Linked DNA regions of Coturnix japonica. The protein of the gene in region 1 interacts with the protein of each later gene in a pairwise test. Links are inferred from orthologs where the notes say so. Each region holds a gene or a part of one and is shown in the gene's direction. Other genes may lie near its edges.

What was found. The genes of interacting proteins can lie anywhere in the genome.
Region 2: the proteins of TRAF3IP1 (region 1) and ABI2 interact in a two-hybrid assay, tested with the Homo sapiens proteins (2 studies listed by BioGRID and IntAct). The link is inferred for Coturnix japonica from reciprocal best matches to the Homo sapiens genes TRAF3IP1 and ABI2.
Region 3: the proteins of TRAF3IP1 (region 1) and IFT20 interact in a two-hybrid assay, tested with the Homo sapiens proteins (2 studies listed by IntAct). The link is inferred for Coturnix japonica from reciprocal best matches to the Homo sapiens genes TRAF3IP1 and IFT20.
Region 4: the proteins of TRAF3IP1 (region 1) and SFR1 interact in a two-hybrid assay, tested with the Homo sapiens proteins (2 studies listed by BioGRID and IntAct). The link is inferred for Coturnix japonica from reciprocal best matches to the Homo sapiens genes TRAF3IP1 and SFR1.

The regions. Positions count from the first base shown.
Region 1 is NC_029522.1:3,276,427-3,283,567, reverse strand, and holds part of TRAF3IP1 (TRAF3-interacting protein 1), read left to right. Parts: intron 1-1,793; coding exon 1,794-1,884; intron 1,885-2,846; coding exon 2,847-2,933; intron 2,934-3,467; coding exon 3,468-3,588; intron 3,589-3,736; coding exon 3,737-3,773; intron 3,774-4,375; coding exon 4,376-4,452; intron 4,453-7,141.
Region 2 is NC_029522.1:11,988,049-11,995,856, reverse strand, and holds the start of ABI2 (abl interactor 2), read left to right. Parts: upstream 1-3,047; 5' UTR 3,048-3,079; coding exon 3,080-3,196; intron 3,197-7,808. UniProt on the Homo sapiens protein: Regulator of actin cytoskeleton dynamics underlying cell motility and adhesion. Functions as a component of the WAVE complex, which activates actin nucleating machinery Arp2/3 to drive lamellipodia formation.
Region 3 is NC_029534.1:8,041,294-8,048,346, reverse strand, and holds IFT20 (intraflagellar transport protein 20 homolog), read left to right. Parts: upstream 1-2,882; 5' UTR 2,883-2,913; coding exon 2,914-3,040; intron 3,041-3,122; coding exon 3,123-3,208; intron 3,209-3,705; coding exon 3,706-3,809; intron 3,810-4,145; coding exon 4,146-4,227; coding exon of another isoform or gene 4,228-4,237; 3' UTR 4,238-4,592; downstream 4,593-7,053. Other genes in the region: TNFAIP1 (BTB/POZ domain-containing adapter for CUL3-mediated RhoA degradation protein 2), read right to left, coding at 714-930; TMEM97 (sigma intracellular receptor 2), read right to left, coding at 6,066-6,316, 6,922-7,053. UniProt on the Homo sapiens protein: Part of intraflagellar transport (IFT) particles involved in ciliary process assembly. May play a role in the trafficking of ciliary membrane proteins from the Golgi complex to the cilium.
Region 4 is NC_029521.1:21,226,858-21,234,623, forward strand, and holds SFR1 (swi5-dependent recombination DNA repair protein 1 homolog), read left to right. Parts: upstream 1-3,005; 5' UTR 3,006-3,095; intron 3,096-3,190; exon of another isoform or gene 3,191-3,210; intron 3,211-3,604; 5' UTR 3,605-3,624; coding exon 3,625-3,720; intron 3,721-4,112; coding exon 4,113-4,493; intron 4,494-4,687; coding exon 4,688-4,879; 3' UTR 4,880-5,645; downstream 5,646-7,766. Other genes in the region: CFAP43 (cilia- and flagella-associated protein 43), read right to left, coding at 6,506-6,663, 7,295-7,448. UniProt on the Homo sapiens protein: Component of the SWI5-SFR1 complex, a complex required for double-strand break repair via homologous recombination. Acts as a transcriptional modulator for ESR1.

The DNA.
Region 1 (7,141 bases):
CTGGCCCTCTTACCCTGCATGTGGGCTTGCTGAGGGTTGTGAGCAATTGCTTGTGCATCATTTGTGGTATACATTCATATATATGTGTGTGTGTGTATATATATATATATATATATATATATACACACACACAGTAACTATTATCCTTTTCCTTTTCTCAGTCTTAATAGTTTTATCTCAACCCATGAGTTGTACTTTAGGGGAATGAGACTGTGTGGTGCTGGGCTACCTGCCAGGTTATATTACAACAGTCCATCTGGTGACCAATGTGAGGCTCCAAGGGTTGAGATAACAGCACATCTGTCCAGAGCAAGATAACACAGGGCTTTGTGGGAGCTGGAGAAGTGCAGGCCATGATGCTGATTGTTTCCCTATTTGTGGAGCTTGTTGAGTCTTCTCATGAAGCTGCATTGCTTCTTTCCCTGGAGATTGACAGCTAGTTCCAATAGCTCTTGAAAATTTTGACTATCCATGGGATGCTCAAACAAACATGCTGCTAATGCCATGTCTTGAATGTATTTCAAGTTATGTTTAAGACTGAACAATTGAAATAATTGTATATCACTCATAGATCTGCTCCGAGGTGGGATAGTTGAGTGGCACCAATGGCAATACCATACCAATCAGGACACCTTGTATCATAGAGTAGTTGCAGTGAGATATCAAAGGCTGCTTCCCAGTCCACCTGAGGCCTTTAGGGCCTTATAGCTGTGTTAATCCAAGGAAATATAGACATGTAGCCAATACATTTGTGTAACTTTACACAACTGGGAGAAATTCCACTCTGATGCCTTTAGCACTCAAGTGTGGATTGCTGGAAACAGTCACTTGTGTTTGTCCCTGCTCTCCTGGCATTGGCAGTAGATCTCAGCAAGAAGCTGCTGGTAGTTCTTGGTTCTTGGTTGTATTTTTCATGTCTCATTTGGTCAGACTATTTTTAAGGAATTCATCTCTGAAAAACCAATTTGTTTACTATTTCCAGATGTATTTGCTAGTGACCTTGTAGTGAAGGAACCAGGGATAGCTAAATCTTCTACTAGAAATTAAACAGTGCTTTTTAATAAATAAAGCACTTCTGCAATTTAGTGAGGGTTTTTCTTAGACTTATGCTATATGCTAAAGATTAAGAAAGAAAAAGGACTGTAGCAAAATGCAATTTGGTTGTGTTTGCATGCTCTTAGTAGACCTTATTCAGGTCGTTGTTAGTAAAGAGAATACCAAAAAGCAATCTGTGCAAGTGCTTTGTAATTCAGGTTAAGTGCTTTCCGAAGGGGAGAGAAACCTAAGGACATAAAATGGTCATAAACTATTACTACTTTTTTCTTTTTTTTTTTAACTTGAAGCAGATCCTGTGGGGAACTTCTTGTCACAGGTAGTTATTGCAACAACCACTTTAAAACGTACCATTTCCATTTTCTTAATGCCTGCACATGACATTTTTTTTTTCCTCCCATTACTTGTATTTGTGGGTTCAGCTCATGTTAAAAGCGATTCACAAAACCTTTCCTACAGCAGCAGATAACTGGGGCAGTGGTGAATGGTGAGGGTGAAATTCTCCTTTCTATCTTGTAAGCAACATGTGTGGTAGACATCAAGATGCAGTGAGAGCAAGAAATCAGCTGAGTCCTTGGATATATAAAGCTTGTAGAGTTGCACTTAGTTTGTCATATGATTAATTTCATTAACACATTAAAGTATAATGTTGATAAGGCTTGAAATACTGTTGTAAAGAATTAGATTTGCATTTTCTACGTGGCAGGTAAGCCACTATTACATTTTTTTCTATTGAATAGAAGATGAAGCAGAGAACCTTGATCCTGAAAAACCTGCTGTATCTGAAAACGATGAAGCACCCAATGATCTTCCACCTCAGGCTATCCAAAGGTTGGTTCCTGTTCTTTATTCTGTCTGAGTGAAGCACCAGTGGTGTCTGGAGGTCACATGGTTGTAGTGGAAATGCTGAAGCAGTGATTGAGCACCTGGTGGGAAGGCAGGGCCAGCCTAAGGGAGCTCAGGAGCATGCAGTGTGTCTGAGTGATTGGAAGGGCTGGAGCCAGGATCCACCCCTTCCCAGACCTCATTTAAGGGTTGGCAGTGGAGATGAGGGTGTTTTTTGCTGGAGTTCCCTGTGTGTTTGAGGCCATTCAAAGGCAAGCAGCTCTTTTCCTTCATTTTTGTTTCTGTGGTTGCTGTGCTTGGGCTTGTTCTCATTTGCTGTAGCCAAAGACTTTGCCACCCTGCTATTATCCTAGTACTTTCCATCCCATTATAACATTACAACCGTCAATTGGAAAATAGCAAGGGAATGTGAAGCAGTTTGTGCTTGTGGCGTGCAATAATGAATATTATCCCATGTACGGTTCATTTTATTTGTTTTCATTTCCTTCTACGAAGGAAACTTCATGTCTTGGATGTGCATTCTTAATCCAAAAAGTGCCTTGATGTAATCTTATTATATTAAGAGTGATCTGTGAAGAGTCTGAGTCTGTTGCATCACTTCAGAAGTATGGTGTTAGGGATAAGATGAACTTGACTTTCAAATCCCAGTTTACTTTTTCTTTGCCCAGAAATAAGCTACTGTAATTGTATTACTTATGGAAATATACTTTTTCCTTTTGCTGTTATTGCTAGTTAACTGTGCAGTATCCAGATTATTTTTAGTGAGACAAACTAAGAGGTGGTTTTACCCAAAATGATACTATTCTTGTTGAAGGTCACACTTGTTAGGTTTTCTCAGACTCCTACTAGGTCAGAAGGTATTGCCATATAGGATTCTACTCTGGGGATGTTTCCATTGGTTTTATGCTTCCTTTTACAGTGTAGGTGAAAAGTCTTTTTTCTTGCAGACGTATTCCTCGTCCTGGCAGTGCAAGGCCAGCACCACCCCGAGTAGTGAAACGCCAAGAAAGCACGGAGGCTTTGCTTTCAGAAAGGTGAGAAGTGTGGGTGATGCAGAAAAGATGCTGTTGGCTTTTACGCCACAGTATTCTAAGATGTTGTGTTCACCCTGTGCCAGTGAATAGCATCAGGATGAGTCACCCTACTGATTCAGGCAGGAAAACTCAAGCCTTTCTGCAAATCCAGTGTATTATTTAGAAGTTACAGTTAGTGGCCACATAAGGAAGTTCAATGATAGATACAATTTGATTAATTTTTTTGTCACTGGGAACTTTCAAACAGGTAAGCCTGGAATATTAATCTTAACTATCAATATAAGAGATCTGTAAGGCATGTAGTGTATCTCATGCTCAAAAAAAGGCTGAAACAGCCCCTTGAATTTATGGCCAAAATGTCTTGCAGGTGATGTCAAATAAGTGTCAAGCACTAAAGCAGTGTATTCAGGAGTAATGGCAGTGAAGGAATTTGGTGTGCTGCTTTATTTTATGGAAGGAGGTGAGGGGATAGATCTGAATGGGATTGGGCCTAAAAACTTAATAGGTTTTCATGTTCGTTTCATCTCTTATCAGGAACGGTAGTGCTAAGGCAGTCTCAAATGTGATCATAGACCAGCAGGCTTCTGATGATGATGATGACCAGTTTGTGGTGGAGGCAGCCTTGCCCGTGCCTGAAATGCCAGAGCTGGAAATGGTTTGTTAATGTTATAAATTATAGAACCTTTTCTCAGCCTTTGTAGCTTGCTTGTTTAAGTAGCTTCTAGCTGGACATGTTGTTGAATAATTTTATATTGTAGTAATACCAAGTTTTTCCAACTAAAGCTCTCTCCCTGCATGTTTAGGAGCCAGAAGTGGATCTGGTGGAGGATGAGAAGCATGGTATGTTTGCTTTTGTATGTATTTGTATGCATATACATAAGAGTAAAGCCACAAGTTTAAACCAAGTACTAAGCTCTTGCAATGGGGAATACAGCAGCAAAATACCTTTTGATGGAGCAGAACCTTGCAACTTTGCAAGAACACGGCAAATGTTTCTCAAATGAAGTCTTGTATAGCCGAGCAGAGGGATTTACAGCTGATGTCAAACATGTATCTTCTGTATGTCTCTTTGAGATAAGTGAAGGGGTTGGCTGGTCAAGGCAAGTTAGAGAAAAGCTTCTAGGAAAATTGATTGTCTGGTTCATGGCAATGGTTATGCTTACTTGTGACCTCTGATATCTGATTCAGGGCCTTCAGTCCATTGTGGCCACACTGGATGTGATTTAGGGAGGCTTATTTCTCTGTACCAATAAATTATTAGCAGATTGCTATCTGTGTATACACATGTGCATGTGTATGCAGATAAGACAGTGGAAAAATAAATTTAAAGTATCTTGTATCTCAGTAATTGAAATACAATGGAATACTGTTCATGTTGGGTTTGATGTTATTGTCTTGAATGTTTAGAATCATGTTCTGAGAAATATCCTCATTTTCTCCAGGTGGACTTGTGAAAAGAATCCTGGAAACAAAAAAGGATTATGAAGCATCACAAAAATCATCTAAGACGACAGAAAAAGTAAGATGGAAATAGCCTGCAAGAAATTGTGGTTATTATATATTGTAACGTGGTTTCATACAGCATTTAGTAGTCCTTTTTAGCCTGCTTGATCTCAGCCTTGCCATAGATGCAATAAGGCACACACTGCATTTATGCAGCTACGTAATTAATTATTGTTTCAATCTTAATTGTCCTCTGGTAATATCAACCGATCATCAGTCATTATAATTACCTATAAAACATAGGGATCTGGTGCAGTTAACCATGTACAGTAAGTATTACCATATCACCAGGTGCTACCTTAGTAAAATCTAGCAGACCTGGGCTTTCTAGACTGAAACAAGGACGTGATTTTATTTCTCCAGCCAGAAACTGGGATAGGGAAATAAGAGGGAGGGAGGTCTAGAGCTGTTCTAGGAGCGATCACAAACCAAAACCAAGATGTTGAAGCACCCTGATATTCATGTATTCCTTCCATAACGTGGCAGCTCTTGCTCTTTTAGCCTTACACAGCTCGTGTTGCAAGGAGGCACAAAAGGTGGAGCATTTTGGATTGACTTTTTTTGAACCTTTGGCAAGGTTTTGAATAAGAAACGTAGCATTTTGGAGAGGCAAGTGCTCTTAAATCTTCAGTTCTACTTGCACCTCTCTTCTTACCTTTATTCAGTGTTAGTGATAGATGTAGTGTTGTATGCTGCTCTTCTATTAGGTGCTGCAATTCAGACCTGAAGAACACTAAGCTTTTAACAAAACTCTTTCAAACACCTCTCTGAAATCAGGAGAAACTTTTGAAGCCTTAGCCACTTCTTGGCCTTCTGTTACTTAAATGAATATAGTTCTTGGCAGTGAGTAACAACATTGTGATAGGTTATGAGTAAAGTGTACAGCTGGAAGAAACAAGTCCCCAAGGGACTAAAACTCATGATAGACAGTAGACTGTTTTAAATATAAAAGAAAGATTTTATCTAGCGTTTGTATGCTTTCATAATCACTTCTGGCAATCTGCAGCAAAAATGACACAACTTGTTAGGATTGTGATTTTTGGGAGGGTAAAATCAACAAATCTCTTAAATAGAGGCACTCCCAAATGCTGTAGCGGCAGTGAATTGTGCTGTCATGTAGACCAGCCTTTTCGTTCCTTCCCCAGCACATGGAGAAAGTGAAGGAGGTAGAATCAGACCCATGGGGAAGCATCTTCCTATCTCAGGCTTGGGGTTGTATGAGATCCAGACCTGCTTGACCAACCAAAATTCCTCGTGTGTTGCATGGGCTGAGATTAAAGAAGAAAAATAATTCTTAAAATGGGAAAGATTTCATTTTCTGCTCATAACCCATTTTGAGTAGTTACAGTTTTGTTCAACTTGCTGAATTATGAACTATTTATTATAAACATGCACCTCATACTGCTTGCACACTGATCATTTAAATGCTCTTGGCTATTTTTGATGAGTGTCTGAAGTGAATGAGTTCTGTCTTTATAGAGCAGTTTGGGGAAAGGGAGGGTTTAGAGATAATATTGCAGTAGCTCTAAAGTTTGTGTGTGTTGAGCTGGTATTTGTGAGAACACGAGATGAAGCTGTTCCTAGTTTTATAGCTAGGTGGTGCTGTTCAATCATCAATCTCCAGACTAAGTTTTAGGATGGCAGTAGCGGTTGAATTCAGTCTTTTTCTTTTTTTCCTGCCAGTACATAATGGGAATGCAGGCAATATTGTGCTGTATCGTGTCCTGTCAACTGAGCACTGGGCATAGAAATGAACAGTAGGGAACATTTACAAAACATCATGGGTTCCATGTTCTGGAAGCTTCCTCTGGGACTTGTACTCAATTTTCCCTTTCTTTTTTCTTTTTTCTTTTTTCTCCCCTGAATACATGTAGCTCACTAAATAAAACAATTCCCTTTTAACCCCTTAGATTTTGTTTTAAATGCATGTCAGCCCCTGTGTCCCTGTGCAATCATCGTTTAGTCCCACTGCCTATTTTCAGTCTCTAAAACACACTCATTCTGTCTCTGTTTGCCTTTTGTTGCTTCTTTTGAAGCACTGATCTGTGTTAGCAGCGCTGATAATAGACAACTAATTCTGGAAAAACAAAAACCTGCTGATTTCCATCACGTGAGAAACTGCAGGCAGCAGTAAGCTCCTGGAATATCATCTGTTCTCATATCCAAGCAGCTGGCTGCTGCTGCTGCATTTAGTCTCCTTGCTGCTACTGCTTTTCAAATTAAATCATAGAATGGCCTGGATTGAAAAGGGCCATAATGGTCACTGAGTTTCAACCCCTCTGCTACATGCAGGGTTGCCACCCAGCAGACCAGGCTGCCCAGAGCCACATCCAGCCTGGCCTTGAATGCCTGCAGGGATGGGGCATCCACAGCCTCCTTGGGCAACCTGTTCCAGTACGTCACCACCCTCTGGGTGAAAAACTTCCTCCTAATATCCAATCTAAACCTCCCCTGTCTTGGTTTCAAACCATTCCTGCTTGTCCTATCACTGTCCACCCTCCTTAGTTGAAGACGTTGTTGCGGTCCAGAGAGGAGAAGTGCAGTTTTCCTGACAGCAGAGGAAAAGTTGATGGAAAAGATGATTAAATGTTGGTGACTGGGACTTGAAAGACGTAGCCCAGAAAATATGAGCTGGAGGGACTGCTGAATTCTGAGAGTTTATTTTAGAGGACAGAGAGAAAGTAACAGTGAAAAATACCTTTCTT
Region 2 (7,808 bases), about 8.7 Mb from region 1:
TGGAATGCTCCCAGGTGCTATCTGGGGGCGAGGGCAGAAAGGAGAAGGGTGGAGCTGCAGACTGATGGCAAACAGAAGCTGTGTAAAGAGGAGCTGCCTTTGCAGCTAGTGAGAGTGCTTCACCAGAAGTGCGATGGAAACAGGACGGATGGTTTCACAGATGTGATTTATTATCCTTCCCATGCAAAGCAGTTATGCTAATTTCAGAAACAACACACAGTTATTTGTTGGCTCCTATGAATATAAAAAACCCTACAAACTTTTTAAAGTGGTTTATGTGATTAAAACATGATTACAAACAGGACAGGATCAAAAAAGCTCCAGGGACCAAGTTCCCAGAGTTATGTGAGTACCTAAGAATCTGAACTTTAATTAAAACCAGGAAGAAACTGAAACCTCGGAGAATGTTTCTAACCATTGTAGCTGCAAAGGAAACTTGCAAATATGAGGAGAGCATAAGTAGGCCAGTGATGTGTCTGTAGCAGGCCTGAAACAATAGCTGAGAAAGGGTGATTTTCCCATGCGCTGCAGTGGAGCATTAACTCTGTAATCAGCCCTTTAGGGTCTGTCTTCTCAGTAGTTATGTCACATGGACCTGGGAGATGCCACTGGGGGTCAGGATGGAAAGGGACTGAAAATTGGGTTGGTATCTTTGAGAAGGAAAACTGGCAGAAAAGAAAAACAAATTGGCACATTTTTTAACTTCCCCCTCCTTCTCTGAATGCTTTGTTCTTTGAACCTCGGAAGGGAACCTGATGATCAGCTGTGCTTTGTGCTGGTTTGTCTTTGAGACCATTTGTTGCCTGTGTTCTTTTAAAGCTGAAATGTTAGGAAGAGATCATTATTTTTCCTCTTTAACTTGACCTCTCCCTCCCTTAGAGAGATTCTCCGCATGTACTGGCTCCATCCTTCTCACACAATGCTATGCTGAAATAACGTTCAAGAGAGAACTTGAATTCCTAGAAAAAAAAGGCTTGATATTTAGAATGAGACACGGCCGAGAACAGAAAGACGGAATGTCTGCAGTGTGTCCTGTGCCTCTCCGGAGGTGCTGTGAGGTGATGGATGTCAGTCATGCACTGCCTCTGCCTGTTTCTGAACTAGTGGTGTTAGTGCAAGCACTTCCATGAGATGTGAACTACCCCACAGGTAACTTGTGTCCTGTGTACAGTCGGTATTTTACCCAGCAGCAGTTTATCATGAGCAGAAAGATTATCTGTGGTTACGATCTTGATTGCCCAGCAAATTGGTGAATGCCTGCGGAAGCAGGAGGAGAATGTGCAGCTGCAGAGTGTGTGGGTTCTTCACTGTTTCACAGCAGGGGCTGGCGGCTGAGTGCCCAAGATGCCACAGGATCCTGACAGCGTTTGTTGTGGGCACTGGATGTGTATGAGCCTCATTCTGTAGCAGGCCATCCTGAGATTGTGGCAGAGCCTCGAGTGTTAAATGTGCTGCTGTTCCCTTTGGGTGCTTTGCATTATGAGGCTAGCAAAGGTCTGCATCCAGCCAGAGGCAGATCAACGCTATCTAAACAGACCAGGATGGCACAACTCTGTCTTTGTTGAGGGAGCAAAAGTATATATTTCAGCTACAGATAATTTTTTTTCATTCCCCCATTTTTTCCTCTTTCCCCATTCCTGCAGTAAATGCTACCTGCCAGCTTTAGGGCATGGGCCTGTTTGTATTATGGTCAGTTCACATGCCCATGTTTGCTGTCAAAGTGCTTTGCCCATTGTGCAGACGCAGATCTGCTTGGCTCAATGTGATACAGTGGGGGTTTTGTTTCTGCTGTATACAAAACATGGAATTTGGGTTGTTTTTTGTTTTTTGTTTTTTTTGTGAGGGAAAAAATGTTCAGAAATGAGAATGTCATAAAGCCAGAACAGAGATCCTTACACAAATTAAGTGAAAACCTGCAGCATGGTGTGTCAGAGATCCAACCAGGTCATCTGTCCAAATGGGATCAGGGATTGTGCCGTTCTGTCTTCCATATAGCAAAGAAAACAGAAGAGGCTTTTGATTGCAATGCCTACCCATGGTGCCAAAAACAGTGGCCTCCAAGCTACCCCGTTATTACTTTTCTCTAATTAAGAATTGGTAATTCAGACTGTGGTATGTAGGACACACAGAGTGCCCAGCTACGAGATTGCACGTGACCAAATGATTTGCTTGTCTGGGCGTTTTTGTGCGCAGGGACTCCCTTGGGTAATGGGCAGAGGTAAAAATCTGATGCGTGTGAGGGAACTTGGAGTAAGCGACATGCTTACCTTGCTTGTTCCTAGGGATATTGTTTTCTCAGTATATTTAGGTGGGAAATACATTTGCTTCCCAGTCTTGAAGCTGTTGTACCAAGGGAAGGTACTGCACAAAAGAAAGAAGGAGAAGTTAATGTGTGGAATGCTGTAACTGGGGCTCAGAGAGCATAAGGACTTAAAATTAGTTTAGCACATCGCTTGGCAGATGGGGAGTCGATTATGTAAATGTAGGAAAGTGGTAGTTGGATTCACTTGGTCTAATTTAAACACTGCTTCTAATCATTTTCAGCACGCGTACAGAGAATTATAGGATAACCATCACTCTGCCAGGAGGGCTCTTCATCTTTAAATTTAAATCCATGAAAGAGTCCCCTATTAAAACATAAACATGCTGTGATAACAAGCAGCTAATGATGCAGGCAGGTTAGTCCAGCTGGTCAGCTGCGCACACACATAGTAAAGACGAGGCCTTTTCTCATATGCTCCAAGTCACTGGAAGGGGCCACTGCAGGGTCAGGGGGTCGCTCCGGCTCCTGCTCCAGCTCCGGCTCCATTCATGTCCCGCAGCCCCGTCCCAGCTCCTCCGTGCCGGCAGTGGGCGCACGGGGCCATGATTAGGGCTGCTGGGACATGCGCAGGAGGAGCCGCCGGCCGCGCCCCGCCCCCGGTGCGGTGGGGGTCCGGCGCGCTCCTGCCCGCGGCGCGAGGCCGGGCCTGGCGGCGGGGAGCGGAGAGAGGGAGCGGAGCGGAGGGAGGACGGGAGGGAGGTGCAGGAGGGAGGACGGGCAGACGAGCGGACGGTCGTGGGGTGAGAGGATGTGAAGATGGCGGAGCTGCAGATGCTGCTGGAGGAGGAGATCCCCGGGGGGCGCCGGGCCCTGTTCGACAGCTACACGAACCTGGAGCGGGTGGCCGAGTACTGCGAGACCAACTACATCCAGGTGCGGCGGGGCGGGGCCCGACGGCCGAGCATAGCGGTCGGCCCTGGCGGTCGCCGTCCGCGTGGCGCGGTGCTGAGCGGCGGCAGCGGCGCTTCCTCCCCCGCTCCGCGTTGCGCCGGGCCCGGGCCGCATCGTGCTCCTCGGTGAGGCGGAACAAAAACAGGACGGCAGCATCAGTAACGGCCGCGGGTCGTTCCGCCGTGGTGTCGGTGCTGAGTGCAGTGAGAGGGCTCCCGGAGCTTGTGCCTTCCGTCCCCGAGAGCGCTTGTGTGATGGCAGGGGGAGCGGGCCGTGCCCGGGTGGGCGACACGAGGGGGAAGCATTGGGGGTGCGCTGTGTGGGATGCTGAGCGACCAGCCGACCTCTAGTGGGAAATGTCTGCGGATCTGGGGTCATTTACCGAACAGCGATGCGATTAATAAGGTTTCATACGCTGAATTAGCGTGACTTATGTTCTTTAAGAGAAACGCGCTGAAGTATTTTGTTGTAGTCATAAACTGACATTAATGTTTGTGCTGTTTTAAAAAGAAGGAAATGGGGCTTTTTCTGGAAGAGGAGCTGTGAATGGCAGAACCGGATAGGAAGAGGTGCATTTAGCTTGTTGTTTTGCTCTCCCCACGACCTTTTACTGTTCTCTTCTTGTAAACCAAGGATTATAAAATCTGTATTGAACAGCTCCACTTTTATTGTTTCAGTAAAAATTGCAGAGCAAGATTCTGTGATATTTCATGCAGAGAATGGAAAGAGGGGGGTCTTCCCATAGCTGGCATATAAAGGCAGCCTGAGCCGAGGGCAGCCAGCTGGTGAGGGAAAGCAGGGAGTGAGGCTGGGTTGGTCAGCCCACCGGGTTCTGGCCGCTGTGCAGCACACCGCAGTTGTTGGCAATTTGTCCAAGCATCGCGGCAACACAGGGATGTAAGAGGGAGGTGAGAACAGAAGGCAGAAATTGTGTTGTGGTGCTGACTGTGAGGTGCAGTATGGGATCACTGACTGGAAAAATAAAGATGTGAAACAAGTGGGGAGCGGAGGACCATAGCTAGGTGATGATGGTAGGCTTAGGCTATTGGGGTTGGCAGAGAGACTGCAAGGTGACGTTGCAGAGGAGTCCAACTTGAGGAGATGCTGGATTGAGTGACGTGAGTGTCCTTGTAACAAATCTGATGGAGAACTCACCCTACGTTCTCCGTGCCAGAACTGCATAAACTCTTCATTGGGATAAATACCCAAAGCTATTTTGTTTGTCTTCCTTCTGCAAGGAAGGGAAATGGATACAACTAACATCACTGGGGATTTTGTTTCCAATAATAGTAATTCCAAAAATCAATATACCCAATTCAGTCTAAATTACATATTTTATGCAAGCTTGGATTTGGTGGAGATGTGCACGTTGGGAATGCGTGTGAGAATCATCTTCCAGAAAGTCAGAAAATCTTCCAGAAGATCGACTAGTTCTACTGTAATCTTTTAATGTTCCGTTGCTGACAGAAGGGTTTATCATGGATATTCTTGAGGTCTCCTGACAGGGACTCAGTGTATGACTGAGATCTGAGTTTGATCTACTGAATGATAGGCAGCACAGCAATCAGTGCTTGCAGGAATGACACTGGCATGTATTTGTCAGTAGACAAGCTCAATTGGTGCTGAGAGGTTATTTTATTGTCAGGTACATAAATTGTTGCAAAAAGCAGAGGCGTTGGTCAGTTTTTTAAAGAATTTGAAGTTCAGTGCTATAAGATGAATGTGTTCTATCTCTGCCTCCATTGACAGTTACATAGCAGCTGGAGAATAATGGAACAGTAATCTCTTACATGTTGGGACTGACAGGTCAGAGTCAGAGAGCTGTGGTGTTTGCAACTCATTTGGATTCTACTTATGAAGTGAAAAGCATTCCTTGAATGTTGGTGGTTCATTATACAAATTGTTCTTGATACTTGCAGAGCTCAGTTACTTCAGCAACAGAGAATGTTAAATGAATTGTTAAGGTTCTCTGAAGTCTGTATTATAGCAGCATATCAGAGCACATCAGCTTAAAATTTTGTGACAAGTCACTGGGAAATATTGGAAATATGTAGTAAAATAGAACTGCAGCAATGAAAGATGAAAAGCTACTGCTTGGATATTGCAAGAAGAAACATGTAAAGAACGATTTTCACCTGCATAGTACGACAGTTCAGCTCCTTCTCTGTGATTATTTCACTTTATATAAGAATATTAGTATGTATTTTTGGAAAGTTTTAAGTGTAAGTGCACAAGTAAGACAGTTTGATCAGCTTCTGTTACTGCCAATATCAAATAACTTTGCTTTCCAGGTAGCTCTTCTCAGTACCGTAGAAAACATAGTTACTTCTCTGTTGTACTTCCCGAAGAGGGGGCTAATACAGGCTGTTATTTAGGAGGAGATTTTTGTGGGATTTGATACAATGTTAATCAGAAGTTAAATTGTATACTGTTTCTGCAGGCCTTTGTGTACTAGTGCTGCATTCTGATACCAAGTTCTCAGTCTAAACTGCAACAAAGTAGTTCTATAAAATCTGATTGCTTCATTTACTTGTTACTGTATAAAAACATATTTAGGTCTGCATTGATCTCCATGAAAAGCAAGAGTTACTTAATTGGACAGTGCGCTGTATTTACTAGATTTTCATATTCCAGCATTATTTTTGATCAGGAATGTGATAAAGAAAGTTTCTGGTTATGATGATATAAATGACGAACACCCTTTTGAGCACTGGTGTGACTTGCTTGTTTTATTACTGGTACACCACTGTAAGTTCCAGCGCTGCATTGGCCTTTTCACTTTCTTTAAGCTTGTTCTGAACAAGTCTGTCTGGGGCTCATCTCTAACTTGCTTCCAAACAATTGGAACTTTTAAAAACGAAATCATTTTTTTACTTAATGCATTGCATATAGAACTTTCAAGAGTAATTGAATGCTTGTGTCTGAACTCACTGTTTTGAAAGAGTCAGAAAGAATTCCTAGATAGACATTTTCAGCCACTGGATATCTAGCAGGACCAGACTCAGGGTGGGGGCAAGGCCAGAGAGCAATGCAGCATGCAGAGCTGGGTGAAAAGCCACGGCCCTGTGCCCTGTCCAGCCTCCAGAAGGTGAGTGTGCTGTGTTTGCCAGATTCTTCAAGCAGGATCTGGATTTCTTAGTCTTTCTAGACTATTATGCTTTGTTGTGTGGAGAGGAAGAGCGAACTTCCCATTTCCATCACTTTGCAGCCTTCAGGTTGCTATGGGTATTGAGTCTCATACATAGAAATAAGCTTCCCATATTTCTAAGGGAAAGGCAGGGAAGAATATATATATTTTTTCCTTTTCTGAAAGTATTCCATCCTTCTAGGTACTAGAAGTACCTGCTTTCAGACCCTGCAATAGCTTTTTTTAAATAAACATAATGGTGAGAATTACCTGTTTCTCAGTAATTTTATTATAGCCCATGGGTTGATCAGTTTCTTAGTTGCTTTCCGCATGCCTGTTAATTTTACTTTGTCCTGTTAAGCCAAACCAAGTCATTGTACTTCTGACAGCATCTTCCAATGAGGTGAAGAAGAGAGTGGAACATCCATTGGCATAGAAATTGCAATTTCTGTAATTATGACAGCTTGAGTCCTACAACAGGAAACTTCTGCTTCTGCGAACTGTCAATTTCTTATATACTTATTTAAATTCCAGAATTATTTTTGCTCTCTTGAGATGCATATCACCTTAACAAAATGTAACTATGCTGAAAGTATTAAAAATATAACAGAGGAGCGCTGTTGGTGTCTCAGATTTGAATTCTCTTAAATGAAATAATGAGGCAGTGGTTAGGCACATACTGTACCTTCCTGAGTTGCAGAAACTTCTACAGCACCTCCCTCTGCTAAAGGCGAATGGAGCACTTGCTGGTAGGTTGGCGAGTTTTGTGGGGTAATCAAAGCATGGGATCAATCCTCTGAGTTTTCTTCTGAGAGTCCGAGTAGCTGGTACTGTTGGTGAAGGATTTTTCTCTCTACTTTCATCTTCTTTAACTGCGCTGTGTTTTGCCAGGAAAGCAAATTTTATTCATTTAATAGCGTCACAAGTTGAAACAGGGGCTCAGAGAGAGTGGAATTGATTTTTTATTGAGTGGTTGTGGTAACAACTTGAGCCATTTTATCAGTGGTAGCAGGAGTTATAACAGTAACACTGCACATAGACAAAGTAAAACTTATGAATACACAAGTTGCTATTAGAAAGTAAGTCTTGTAGTGCCAGTAGTTACAAGTTACATTGTTGTAGTTCTCTCCCATGACTTATTTTCTGATTATAGTTACTGAAAACCATTTAATAAGATTGAATAAAAGTTAGAATTCAGAGTAACGGTGTCCTGCATCTTGCTGTTAATAAGTTTGCTGACACTTGTTTTCTATTTCTTGTGTTGGATTGGCATTTGCAACCATTAATCTTTGTGGCTTAGCGCTGTAGTTTTTAAGGCAGGAAGTGGTGTACCACTATGGTAACGCACAACAAGACCTCCAGCCTCTACTTGAACAAGTGAAATCTCACCCAGTTACCTTCAGCAGATTATTTCATTGCAGAAATAATTGCATTCAGCAGCAGCCCATGTCCAAGAGATGCTCTCCC
Region 3 (7,053 bases), on another chromosome or scaffold:
TCTGACTTGCTGGCAAACAATAGCAAAGGACACACACAGACAGAGGGCTTAATAAAGTGCCCAATCATTGTTCATGAAGTGGAAGGCAGACCAAAAAAAAAAAAAAACCAAAAAAAAAAACCCAAAGTTCTTTATATTTTAGGATCTAGACATATAAGGTAACATAGGAAAGAGGGTTAAACCACTGCCAGATTCTCCAGCTAAAGCTGCCTGAAGACAAATCTCATCCTCCATTCTGGTAGATTGGGGCTCTTACACAGAACTGCTGGGCCAAACAGATTCAGCCTTACGTGACACTCAACAAGATTCAGCCTATCTGAAAATCTTCAACACAGCAATCAAGGCTGTGTTGAGTTTTAAAGCTGAAAACTGACTCTCCCCTCCCTAAAGACATTTTGATTAATGCACTGTAGATATGACAGCCCACATACTGTCCAGTCTTCATAAAAACATCAACGATCTGCCTACCACCTGTGACTGCAGGAAAGAGAACCAGCCCTTCTGCTTGTTAATTTTAATAACAAAAGGACAATTTATATAAAGCACAGGTAGAGCCAATGGGATCTGGCAGCCTGATGTTCCTGGCTCCTTTTGGAATACAGCTTTCTCCACACCCTTCATTGAGCATAGCTTTAATATGCATTAAAAACAAACAAAAAAATACTCCAATAGTTGTTTTACAAGATTCTCAACAACAAAAGACATTTACTTACCTTCCTTATCTGTGAGAACTTCCATTCTGCCACTGAACATGGCCTTCAACATCGTGTCATGCCTGGTCAGGACTTGCACTGTAGTGTAATACAAGGAGCCCCCGACATTTAGTCGCACGTACTTGTTACCGAGGCTGCCGACTTTGAAGCTGCAGGTTTTAGGCTTGGGGCCCACAGCTGGACACAGGGTGGTGGTTAGACACGTGTCCCCCGACATCTCCTTCTGTAGGTAGATGACGACCCTGCAGAGTGTGGGTTTGATGGATTCCGCCGTGATTGGCAACGAGTCACGAGTCACTGGGCGAAGATGGGAAGGCAAAAATGGTCATAGCCACCAGACTCTTGGAATGGAAATGTTTAAGATCAACACAGAAGCCTAGAATTTACACAAAGAAACAAAGCCATGAAGCCCACAACGAAGAGACAAATTCAGTACATTCTTAAGGACACACCTACAAATGTGCTGACAAAACAAAATGCAGGTGTATTTTCAAACAACTTACACAGCAATACAGAAGCTGTTTAACATCACAGTCATATTACGACTTCATTACTGTTAGTGAGGCAAGCTGAACTCCTCTGGGCTTCCTGTTATTCAGTCTTCAGCCAGCATTACAATCAACACACAACACTGCAGCCCAAGGTTAAGTGCTAGATGGGATTCAGATCCCGTTCAACTTCCCGAAATAACTTTTCTGCCTGCAGGAGGGAAACAAATGGAAGAGCTTTGTCCAATTCTTTCATCTGGCGATTACATAAAAAATATTTTAACGTGATATTCTTATAGCAGCTCCAACTTCTTCAAACGACTTGATACTGCAGTGCTGGAACATTACATTCTATTTCCTCGAAACTCCTTTTATTCTACTTCTTTTCCCCCCTTCACTCCTAGAAAAACCAACAGTCGATGTCATGTAGTTTCTATTATTATTGTTTCAGGATGGGTACGCCTAAAAAATGTCTGGTCTTTGGAGTATTTGTCTCAGTTAAAAGCCAGCACAATATTGCTCAGAGGAGCAATTCCCCACCAGTAACCCAGCAACAGCAACTAGCAGCTGCTTATTACAGTTGTGTTCTGTAAGAAGTTAATTGCACAAATAAAGCAGCTCCAGAGAAATCCATGTTGCCAGCAACAAAGTTACTTTTTGTCAACTCTAGGTTATATTGTCATACACCGAAGTAAACCAGAAGCAGCAGCAGCAGCGCACTGTCCTACACCTACAACCTCCAGAGAAAACAGCACCATGGCTCAGGGCTGCAGGTTTGCCCTCGGTGTCCCATCCTGCTTCAGACCACAGGAGCCCTTCCTCCAAAATAAAAGCGTGTTTTTAAGGACAGCCAGAGTCCGTAACGAGCTCTGGGTGTGCACGAAGCTTTCCAGTCTCAGCAGCGGCATCTCTGAACACGTGCACTAGTGAAGGTTTCTGTAGTTGCCGCACCTCCGGCACGTCGCTACGTTTCTGACCAAGAAGGACGAAGCAAAAAAACAACCAAAAAGCAAAATGAGAACCCGCTGCACAGCGTGTCCGGGGAGACAAAACGTCACTGAGGTCCCTGATCATCGATCACGTAGGAGGCTCCTGCGATAAACACAGACTGAACCTTTAATTACCCACATTAACACACGCATAAATGTTGCCCCGTTTCCCTTCCGGCCGGAGCGCAGCACAACAACGGCACCGCCGTCAGGAAGCGGCCCCTGTTCAGCACGGCCACGAAAAGGAGCGGGACTAACGGCGCGAGGGGAGAAAACGAGAAGAGACAAAGGAAAAAAGACGCACAAAGCAGAGAAAGCAACAGGACAAAGCGACAACTGCGCCCCGAGCTGAACCGGCGGGGCCCGGACACGCGCTCCGCCCCGCCCCGCTCTTCCCCTGCCCCGTACCGGCTGCGCGGGCCGCTCCGGCCTGTCCGGGCAGCGCCGACCGGGTGTCGCGGGGCCGTCGGGCGGCGCGTCCGTGGCCTCCGCAACGTCCCCGGCCCGAACGCGGCGGCCACACCGAAGTTCCGCGTCCGCAGCCCCGCCCGCGCGGCCCCACGTCACCGAACCGCCCGGCCCTACAGTCCGCTCACCGCCCGGCCCTACAGTCCGCTCACCGCCCGTGGCCGCCGTCCCCCCCGCTGCAGCCCGTCACTTCCTGCGCGCTGCGCCGCACCCTGCAGCGCTTCCTGTGGCTCCGTGTATCCGAGCGGTGCCGGGATGGCGCAGGAGGCGCTGGGCGCGGCGGGGCTGCACTTCGACGAGCTCAACAAGCTGCGCGTCCTCGACCCCGACGTGGCGCAGCAAACGGCGCAGCTCCGCGAGGAGTGCAAGGCCTTCGTGGACAGTGAGTGCGGGGCGGGGCGGGGGGCGCCGCTTCACTCCGCGCAGCGCTGACAGCCACGAACGCGGGACCGTTTTTCTTTCAGAAATAGCGCAATTCCAGAGCACGGTGGGCGGCCTGATCGAGCTCATGGACCAGTTGGCCAGAGCTGTCGAGAGCGAGAAGATGAAGGTACGGTCCGTTGGGGCTGTCCTTGTAGTCACACCTCCTGGCAGGACGCAGCTCATGGTGGGCTCTGAGGACAGGGCTGTCCAACGATTCACGCAGTAAAAACCTCTGTAACTACCTCAGAAACGTGCACTAATACACGTCACCAAGCGCTCTTTATCTTCTCACTTTATTATGGGGTTGGAGATGAATTTTCAGCACAGCTGTGATTACTTTTCCCTTGTTTGTTCTGTGGGAGAAACTCCTGAGCCTCCTGTTGGTAGCAGCCACCAGGGGGTCAGTTTATTTCACACTGTTAGGAATATCCCAGGTTGGAAGGAAGCCTCAGATGCCTCAACCCGCCCAGCCCCTACAGGGACTGTGTTTGCTCCACAGCCCATCCAGCAGGACGATGCCCCCTTTGCTCTTAGCACGGCTGAAAGACTTTCATCGCGACCTGCTGGTAGTGAAAGGGGTTAAAACTCCTTGTACAGATCCATCACAAACGTCTGTTTTGACAGGCCATCGGTGCACGGAATCTGCTGAAGTCTATAGCAAAGCAAAGGGAAGCACAGGAACAGCAGCTGCGGGCTTTAATAGCTGAGAAAAAGATGCAGCTGGAAAGGTGAGCTTCCTATTAAGTGTTTTTGGGGCATGGACGTAATAGTTGGGAAAGAAAGCTGTGTAGATGTGAGAGAAACAGCCACGTACTGAGAAGGATCATTTCTAATGGCTTTGTGGCTATCCGGATAGAGGTGATGTGAGATCATACAACTGTGGAAATTAATAAAACAGTAAGAGTGGCAGGCAGGTGACTTCTAAAGGCTTTTTAGAACTGTCAAGTCTAATTCATGTGACTGTTGCCTTAAAAAGGACACACACGAAGCCCTGAGCTTCGCTCTCAGACTGGTGAGCACTGCACTAAAATATCAGCTGGTAACCTATTTTCTTTGTCTTTCAGATATCGAATAGAATATGAGAGTCTGTGTAAAATTGAAGCGGATCAGAATGAATTCATTGACCAATTTATTTTTCAGAAATAGAAGACTTTAAGATAAAGACCAGCTTGGAAACACGAGCATTCCAGACTCTTTGACTATTTCAGAAATATGCAATTTTTCACTGTGTGCAAATAAATAAGGATGGTTTGTGCAAATAAAAGTGTTTTTTAATGCAGTGTGAGTTACACTACAAGTGGCAATAAGGAGGGCTTTCTAACAGCTGTAAGACTGTTCTGTCCTTTGATTTTTATAAAGGTTTTATACAGTCAGTAGTTCAGATTCAATCTGTAGTTGAATTAATACTGCTGTTCCTCTGTTAATGTCTCTCTCCCTTTTTGAAATGTACAGCTCTTTCAATGAAATCAGGCAATAAACTTTTGTTTGTCACCTACTTGGACATACCAGAATTAGCTTCTTCTGCTTTGTTACTGGGGAGCTCGTAAGTTTGTGACTCCCTGGATCGTCATCATGAAGGACTTCCCTCATATAGCCATTTTAACACTCCTAGCAGCATAACGTGCAAAAGAGAGAAGCAGTGGTTGGTAACTCCTGCCTGGGAATTCCTAAACTGGTCAGAAAAATTGGTGATTAACAGAACGGGGCAGTTGCACACAAAGAGGAACAGAGAATTAAGATTAAACTGTGTTTGAAGTAACATTGCAGTGGAATACTGCAATTTAACCGTAGGACTTCAGACTGATGAGACAAACAACCCTCAGCGTGTAGTGGCACCAGGAACGCATACAGACCATAGATATGAGCATGGCATTTAAAAACTGAATGTCTGTGACCTAAAATCAAGGCTCTTGTTCAAACAGCAATAGATGCATTTTACACCTGTCTTTAGGCAACCACATAAGAAAACGCTGCCCTTTTCAAAGCTTGTGGGAGGTTTAAGTTACACACCAGTAACGTCCTGAAATAATAAAGCAGTGACTGAAGAAGCCTGCTAGAATTTTACACAAGTCTTCACTGCTCAGTGGCCCAGAATTTCACACAAGTCTTCACATTGTATTCTTACAGATCAAACAGGAAAAAAGGCTACCAGCAGTTGGTTTTATTTTCGATGATTTCCAAGTATAACACAAAGTGTTTTTCTTTATCTAAGCTCTCACAGATTATGTTGGTTTTAGTTCTTCCTTTCAGAAATGAAATGCCATTTGGATGCAGTTATTTATTTCCACGTTAGAAGTTATTTCATGGAAAAGTTTACAAATCCCTGTTTGCAGCTACTGAAGTACTTGAAGAAATCCAGGAGGAGCTGCCAGACAATAAGCATACAGAAGTACAGATGTGGACACATTTATCACTGACCAGGCATTAGCAAGTGATCAGAACTGGAGCAGAGGAAAATAAGGTGAAATTTTAGACGGAAGGAAGAGGAAGGTGAGGATTGTTACATCATCTGAAATGCTTCTAAAGTAGCTGAGAAAAGGAGTTTTGATTTTTGTATGTAATCAGTGAAGGATTGTGCAGAATGTGCTACTGGAACACACTGCAACCTGAAGGCATCTTGGAGAAAGGAAAGTGTAAGGAAAAGCGTGGGCTGCAGCTTCCAGCCTCCATCACCTGGTTATGCATGAAATGGTTGGAAGTTCATTTTCCAAGTACCACACAAAACTGATGATGGGAAGGGAGCTGCTGGGCCCCCTAAAGCTACAAATACCCAGCTGCCACCTGGAACCACCAATACAGGCTTCTGCCAAACCTATTTCTGATGGAAGAGCTGTGAACAAAAGCCAATTCAAACTTTCCTTGCAGGAATCTGACACTTTGGTAATAGGTGTCGCAGCTGACATCGCTGCTTAGTGTTCGTCCCAGAGAACTGGGGTCTGGATCGAAACCAATGGGAAAGTTGTGCTCACATCTTTTACAGCAGACTATTTCCTTTTCCTTTTCTCCACCTGGTTGTACTGGGGGCTGTACAGCATGGTAAAAAGAATCAGAAGTGGTATCAGCAGGTACGGTGCATAGATGGATAACAGGATGAGGCGCTCACGCAGTGTCTGAGGACCCAGATGCTCTGATGTTGAGAAATCGTGGAACAGGATGTGAGCCAGGATAGCAAACAACGTTGTAGCTACATGGGTGGAGTAGATAATTGCAGGAGTCCTTATCCACTTGCAGCCACCTGCGTAGAAGCAGCAAAGAAGCAATATTAAGGCATTTGGAATCAAACTGAATTTGGATAATCACTTGTGGATTAACAAAACATCAGCTGTGCGTCTATCACAGCGTGAGCCATAAAGCATCACAGGCCACAGAAATGAAGTACTTATAGCAACCCATGGAATAATCCAACTGTGTGGAAACTTGGAATGATGGTGCAACTGTTAAGGGCTTAAAAGAAGTTCACAGCTTAACCCAGAGCTTCACTGATGCTGGAGCTGACCACATGTCAGCTGCTGATGCTGCTTACACAATAGGGAGCTACGAGATGTGGGTTAGTGGTTTTCTGTATGGTAAAGGGAAGATGGTTGGACCAGATGATCTTGTAGGTCCTTTCCAACCTTGTGACTCTATGATTCTACAAGTGATGGCAGTTGGTCTGTGAGTCACCGTTTTAATTCCCACCAGGCCTCACTCTGCGCTGTGTTCACAGGCAAACCTGCCATGAAAGCAGCACTGTGTGTGCTGTGTCTCCTCATTGCTTAGGACTGACAGATGAACCACCCTGCACAGAACATGCCATACAGAAATGCTGCACGGGACACATTCTCACATGTTTATACCGACCTTTTAAGAAGGCATATGCTGCGACGGGAAAGAACGGCAGCTGTAAGGCAGCTTCACAGTAAATGAACGCCTTGAACCACGCCGGGGGTTGGAGCATCATGGGGTCCCGGAAGGTGGTGGCGTACCAGGTCA
Region 4 (7,766 bases), on another chromosome or scaffold:
TTTATTAGCTCCGTGCCTCACCCACTCGGTTATTCTCACATGCAGCAGCAAGAACTAGGAAGACCATCTCAGCTGGCTCTTACATTATTATCATTTGTACTGGCAAATTGCAGTACATCTCAGCTGCAATAAATTAATTCAGTTTTCCTTTTCAAGACAGGTACCTTGAAAACTGAAGGAAAAAAGGGGCTGCCCAAGCAAGCACCAAAATGCACAGCAGAAAGAGCAGCACAATTCTACTCTTGCTTTAGCTTTATGCTGATGTCATTCTAGGGACACCAGTGTAACTACTGGACATTCGCACCATTACAAACACAGAATCTGTGTCTCGAGGTCAAATTCTGTTGTAGTCTAAACTGGTTTTACTCTGGGAATCTACGCAGCCATTCCTTTAAAATATTTACACAGCTATAAACAAGTCAGAACATTGTTGAGGAATGAATTGCAGCCAGTAAAAACACAGCCCAAGGCTTGTGCTGAAGTGGGTAGGAACTGAAACATTTCTGCAGCAGTTGGTGGTTGGATGCTCAAAAACACTCCACCCTGCTGCCCCAAGCAAGAGAAAACATGCAGACAGCGCAGAGTACTTCATGCGTCAGGATACATCATTTGGCTTTAAGCAAGATCAATAGATTTCAAAAACTAAGAAATGGGGACAATGCAAGTGCCTCGAGACTTTGTATGTTGACTAACATCTCAATTACTCATTGGCAATGCTTAGGGGAAAAAAAAGGCCCAGCTCTTGTGCCCAACAAGCTGTTAAATGGAAGTTCTGGCACTCTGAAAACATTCCTAGTGCCTTGGAAGAGAAGAATCTGTAAAGGTCAACCCCTCAGTTGGTATCTTTTATTGTTACCCTCCACTTTGGATGTGCTACAACAGATAATGCCATGGGGGACTGTAACGTGTTCTTGTCATGTCAGCACTGATGTTTAAGCCCTACTGCTTCTCCAGAAATGTAAGGTTAATGAAAGAGACCTTAAAAAGAGAACATCCTTCACTTGTGCTGGTGAGTCGTCTGCCATTCAACCGGTGTAAACTTGAAAAAGCCCAATCAAGAAAGCCTCATCACTAGAAAACCAAATAAAGGAAAACTAAGAAGCTTTCATAGAGGTCCTTCATGGAACCAAGTTTTTGTGAAGGGCAGCAGTATGCTCAGCAAATACATCTCACTTCTGTTTGCCATTGCTAAGATGTGGATAACACAATATCAAACACTACAGCATTTCTGCAATATAAGTTCTGGACAGTGACTCGACTCCAGCTCCCAGCTCAGTCACAGGCCTCCTGCCCAATCCTCAACCAGTCACATGCTTTTGCAGGACTGCTCACACATGTAAGCACAAAGTAAACTCCTACACACACCTGGTACACGCAGCTGAACACTTAACACTAACTCGAAGCAGAACCTCCTCCTAGACTGAATACCCATCAGTGAACACTAAGAATAACATTTCCTTTTCTCTCCTCCGTGCATTAAATTTAACACATGAACCTTACATGTGGAGCCATCCTTCTATACCCACAGTCTCCACCTCACTGGAATCCTCACCTGGGGTGGGGCACACGGGCGTTGCTCTAATAAGGCAGCAATGATAATGATAATGCACAGGATGACTTTTTCATGCGTTATGTTCTTGTAAAATCTTACTGGAATCTCAGCTGGCAAATGATCTAAAATCTTAAGCTTTCTGTTGTTCTTGTGCAACTCAACTGTTAGCGTGTCTGTACAACAGAGCATGAGTAATTTAAAGCTGGGACCATCCCTGAGACAGAAGGAAACATGTTGTGAAGTTGGGGACGTGTTTTCTCAAAGCTCCAGTGCATTTGAAATCCATCTGAACTGATCCATTCGCAGAAGAAGTTCCTTAAGCAATCTCACTGTTTTACTTGAAAAGTCCTCCCCTGCCCCCTTTCTTTCTTTTTTTTAATACATACTTTAAAATATAAACACATGACATGAATTCAGCCATAATAGACCATCAAAAGTGCCAGGTCACACTAGGGTTTAAAAATGCCTCACACCACAGTTGCCTCAAGCAACAGGGGAGATTGTATTGTATTTTTGCTGCACAGTTACAACTGATCATATGGTTTAAACACACAACCTAACGTCAAACTAACGCTAATACTTCACACGGCTAAACATTTGTCTCACACACAAACAACCTCATAGCATTCCAGTCTCCCGGCCCAACTTACAATAGGGTTGTGAATGCTTTGATATCTTTACTGTTGATGTTATGAGAGAAAAAGGTTTTACCGGCACTGTGAAATTCTATGAGAAATAAATAAGCATACCTAGGGTCAAACTGCTAATGTTACCTACAATGAGCTTACTCACCTCAATGCAATACTGCATCTTACTGTAATCTGGCATCAAATTCCTGTCATTCTGCTACAGAAATTAGGGACATGATCTACAAAGTCTGTGCAGGTGTGTCTGCTCCACGTGCAGCCAATGCAGCAGGAAGGACTGATACAGCATGTGGTAGTAATCATCATTACAGCCATTTTTTTTATCATTTTCTCAGTCCTAGCACAGCTATACTAAATAAAAACAAACAAATCTTATGTAGATCAGTAGTGGGATTAAAGTCTGTGGGGAAACATACAGCTTTTCCCTTTTTATGAGGAGACAGCATCTGATGCAGAAGGTGCTTTGCTGGAGGTAGAAAAGGTGTTTTGTTGGAGGCAGAGCTGTGTCTCCCTTGGCAGTGCTGAAGTACCAGGCCCCACTTCATCCTACAACCTGCACCATGGAGCACACCATGTTGATTTCGGGTCCTCTCCCTGAGGTAGGAGTACGCACAGCAAGATGGCGGCCAGCTCAAGCAAGGCCTCAGCCAGAAGGCAGCTTGCCAATGCTGGCATAGAAGGTGCAACAAGCTAATCTGCAGCAGAAGCGTGTATGGGATCCACATAAATATCCTGCACTGGGTATTCCACAAATCCGGCTCTACAACAAGAGCACCCAGCATCAGCCCGGCTGATCACAACACCACCTTAAAAGCCTCACTAACCCGCCCCGCCCACTGGCCCGGAAGCGGGAAATTGAAGCGCAGGCGGCGGGTCGTTGGGGCGGCTGAGGGGTTGTGAGTGTTGTTTTGCTTGTTGTGGGGCGCATCGATGGGTGGTTCCGGCGGGTTGCTCTTCTATTCGGGCCGCTGCACCCCCGCCTTAATCCTGTTTCTCTATGGGGGGTGGAAGGTCTCTCGGGGAAAGCAGCTGGGGGCTGTTAGTGGGAGGGCAGGCACGCAGCGCCAGGGGCCGGTCTGGCGTACTACACAGTACTAAACACAGTACTGAGGAGCCCGATTACTCGCAGGGTTTATAAAGGGGCTTCTGTTTTGAGGTTAAGAAAATACAGTTTCTTTGGACTAAGGGTTTTTTGATGAGTTTGATGTTGTGGGATCTGACCTTTGATTTACAGGCATGTTAGTCCAAGTGGTTCATAAGTTCTCTTGCTCCCCTGTTACAATTTGTAACCATTAGAAAATAAAGCCTAGTATTTCTTACTAGAGCTTTTTACTCATTCCTGCAGCCATGCGGCTCAATATAATCAGGTTAGAACAGCAACACACAATTTGTTGTTTTTCAACAGGAACTACTATCTGCCTTGAGATGGAGGAAGCAGCGTGTGATAAACTGACATCTTTATGCCATACACCAAAGGCTTCTGGGACAGCAGCTCCACAGAGGACTAGTTCAGGAAAACAGGTATAAAAACTTACAAGTCCTTGTTTTCTTCGTTCCCATATATGTAAAGTGACCTCCTGTGACTTGTATTTGAAAACGGTACACTCTGCTTTGGTGTTTCTCCTCCCATGCATTATAGCGATGCACTCAAACTTGCCATAGCGTGTATCATTAAAAACTGGAGCTATGCTGGATAAGGCTTGGTTGCAAATGTCCCTTAACTGTCCTGTGCTTTAGGATTCTTCCATGGATTTTCCTTTCCACCTGAAAGGAAGATTGCAAAAGGCAGTGACAATTCAGAAGTCTGTTTTACAGTTGTCATTACTTAGGACATGTTCTGCATGGATGAAAAGTTCTTTGAAATTTGATCAAAGACAAGCGGTTGATTTTTCTTTGTTCTTCATTTTCTTTAGCCAATGAGTGCAACTCTAAAGGAACGATTAAGGAAAACAAGACGTTCGTTTAATGCTAATTTATCAGCGGCAAAGCAGCTCAAGGTAGACACTGAAGAAAAAGACTGTGCAGATGTTGACAGTCAGTGTCCGCCAAAGATAAACATGGATTGTTCCACATCACAAGATAGTTCTGGATGCCTGGAAAGAAACTGCACTGGAAATACTTATTTCAGAAATCCATTACAGGAAAACAATCTCTGTGAATCAGCAGAGAATGTGGTAGGGGTTGATCTTAGTCAGCAGCAGTCCATAGAAGAAAAAGTAAGGCTGATGAAACAAGTGCAAGAGAAGGAAGAACTACTTCGAAGGCTCAAACTGGTCAAGATGTACCGATCTAAGGTAAGGACAACCTCTAGAAAGCACTTCAACATCACTCTTTGAAGTGAAATTGAGTGGTGTTTGTATATTAGCTCAGTTTAAAGCATTTAATTTAAATAGTTCTGCGGGGTACTAAAATCATTTTTCATTTGCAGAAATGTTGCTGTTCTTTCTTCCTATTGTTTTTGTTTTTTTTTTTTAAATCCCAATTCCAGAACAACCTGTCTGACCTGCAGGCTCTGATAGTGAAGTGGAGAAGCAGTACCCAGCTGATGCTGTATGAGCTGCAGTCGGCCTTTTCTGCAGATGGCAAGAAAGTGAGTCTCAGTCAGCTGATAGATACTTTTGGATTGGAAGATCACTTATTGCACTACAGCAGAACAGAAGAAGATTTCGTAGACACATAATCTACTGGTGCAAAGCTTTCAGTTACACGCGTGCATAAACAAAAAAGACTGAATGAACTGATAAACTAACAAGTGTTGATCAGACAATGAACTTTGTTTTGGTAAGGGGTTTTCTCATGGTAAAACTTGGTATTTAGATATGGTAGGCACTGTAAAAACCATTACTTTATAGTAAAAACTGAACTTATGCAGATGGTTCTGGAAAACTGGCTAGAGAGGCAGGTCAGTGAATTACTTAAAGTGAAATGAAATCAAGTAATACTTTAACAGGTAGAAGGCAGACAGTTGTTTGATTAGTCTTTGTGGTTTTAAGGCAGAGTGTAAGTTCAAATCAGTTTTCATTTCTGTTGATGGTCATATGGGGAGAGGGTTCAGTTCTTTGTTTGTCTTCCACATTTGTTCCTGCTGCCTGTCAGTTAATGACAGCATTTTGCAAGTCAGGTAAAGATAACTTAATTTTCATGTTAATATTCTGGAACTGCAATTAGATGTTCTTAATGGCTTTAATAATTGCTAAAGGAAATATGCCATAATGGCACTGATCCTTGTCCAGACAGTCATTTCTAGGGGAACTCCCACAGCTTTTGGTAATGGAAAGGAGAGCAAGAAAATTGCAACTGCTGTCTGTCTACTGTACTAACTCATTTAAGAGCTGAGACATTCTCTCTGAGGTTCTTCAATTACAGCATCATTTACCTTTCTGCAGTAACACTAAATAAAACTTCAGCATTTCATTTATTCTCCAATAAACGTTGTCTTTTCAAAATGTTTTATTATTTCAACCCAAAATTGCTTACTTTCTCACTTCTGTGCATATATTGTGGTGACTTGCCTGCTTTTATTTTCCTTGTCTTACCCACTGTAACAGTGTATAGGACTGTACTACCCTGCTTCCTGCTGTAAATATATATTTTTTTAATGCAACCCCACTCCTTATTTGCTGTAGCTTAACTGTTTTGTTTATATGTGCCAATTACTCATTAATAAGGATGTAATTTTGTACTTACCCCAAGGGAAGTGAAAAGCAAGTCACAGATGAAGTAGTTTACTTTAATGTTTTTAGGGATCATTAAATTAAAGTTTGCAGCCACAGTTTACTTTTAGGAATACTGAGTAGCACTGCCACTGCCAACAACCTTTATTACTGATCACATTTTGGGTATTAATAACTATTTCTTCTGCCTCTTTCATTCAATCCATTCAAAACTCCATTTTATGGGAGTTTATAAAAGGTAGAGGAAAATCTGACATGAAGCATGGAATGGGGAGGTGGTAATTTGCAGATGCAAATTTACTGCTTTCTTTCAGTACTTCACAATATCCTACAACCACATACTAAGGAAATAGAACAGGTGTATTTCTATCATTCTACAAGTTAATCTTTCACTTATTTCCTGAAATAAGCTATATGGCTTGTATAATCAAAAGAGCAGAAATGCAAAAGAAAAAACAGTGTAGGTAAGCTGAGGTACAAAACGTATGAAACAGATGTATCTTTCAATGTGATGTTATTTTAGAAGAAATAGAAGAACAGCAGTAGATGTTAACAGAAGAAAATGTTTTTCTGAAAGACAAGTCCAGAGAGAAAAGGTGCATGTCCAAATTCATCTACCAGGATTGGGAATTTTAAAGAATAGGGAATGTTTTTGATCTTAATCTTTCAGCTTTTGCTTGAAGAATTTCAACGTGTTCTTCCTGTTTTCCTATGAGACTTCGTAGATGTTTCTGCTTCAGAATCTCCTGGTAACGCCGCTTTGCAATCCTTTCATTAATATGCTGCATGTCTGCATAAAAAAATATATGAGTCAGACTGGACATAGGAGGGGATACATAGTCTATAAATATATTGGACTCACTTTGGTTTCGTTCCAGTTTCTTATAAAATAAGCACATATTTTTCCAAAAGGCTCACAGTTGGGTTTGAGGGTCTTCATAATATTGCTTAAAGCAAAAAATGTTTAAAAGGTACTGGGTGCAGTTCCTTTATTTTTTCACAAATACCCAATGCTGTGAAACTAACGATATGACCATTGGAAAGAACTATACAGCTTTCCTAACAAGGGATATCTGTCTTAGCTTCTCGTTCATCTGTTCCCTTGAGCGTGGAAAGAAGCGTGTTGTACAGTCTTACAAATAAAGGTCTGTTGTATAATGCAGATATTAATGGCTATAATATTTTGACTTTCAGTAATTAGATCAACTTCAGTTACACGAATACCAAACTGTAGGAATGTTCTTATGTAAACAATGTTAAAATTGTCATGGTAGAAAAGGTTCTGCTAATTATGCACACCAGTAATGAATAAACGTTTCTTGCCCTTTAGTGGATGCTGATGGAGAATGGGACTATCTAATGCTGGAGATACTTAATGAATATTCTTTGTTAGTGACTTAAAGTGCATTACTGGGACTCACCAGCTGCCTGAGAGAGATGCCTCCTCTCTGAAACAGACACGAGCATTTCCTTCAGCTTGATGCTCAGCTCATAGTTTGCTTGCTCTTTTAAACTGATGCACTTCTCCAACTCTTTAATTTTCTTCTGATGTTTCCTCATAGTCTTCTTGTGCAGCTGTGCATTTCCAAACAAATAAAACAAATACATGAGTTCATATGAAAGCTGTTCAAACTTTTGATGGAAACCCATAATCTTCAACACTGCATATTAGCTCAATTTATTTATGTATTTAGATCTGACCAGTAGCATATTCTAGCTTTACTCTGACACGCTGTATTTTAGCGTGCTTTATGGCGTTCAAATGGAAGTAGCAGACAAGAAAAATGCATGGGTCAAGGAGATAGACGAAATATAGAACAGGCAAAGTGGGAAAAGGAAGTTAATGAAACCAGGGCATTGAAACTTCTCTTCGGCTGCCAGGTGCTGCAGAAG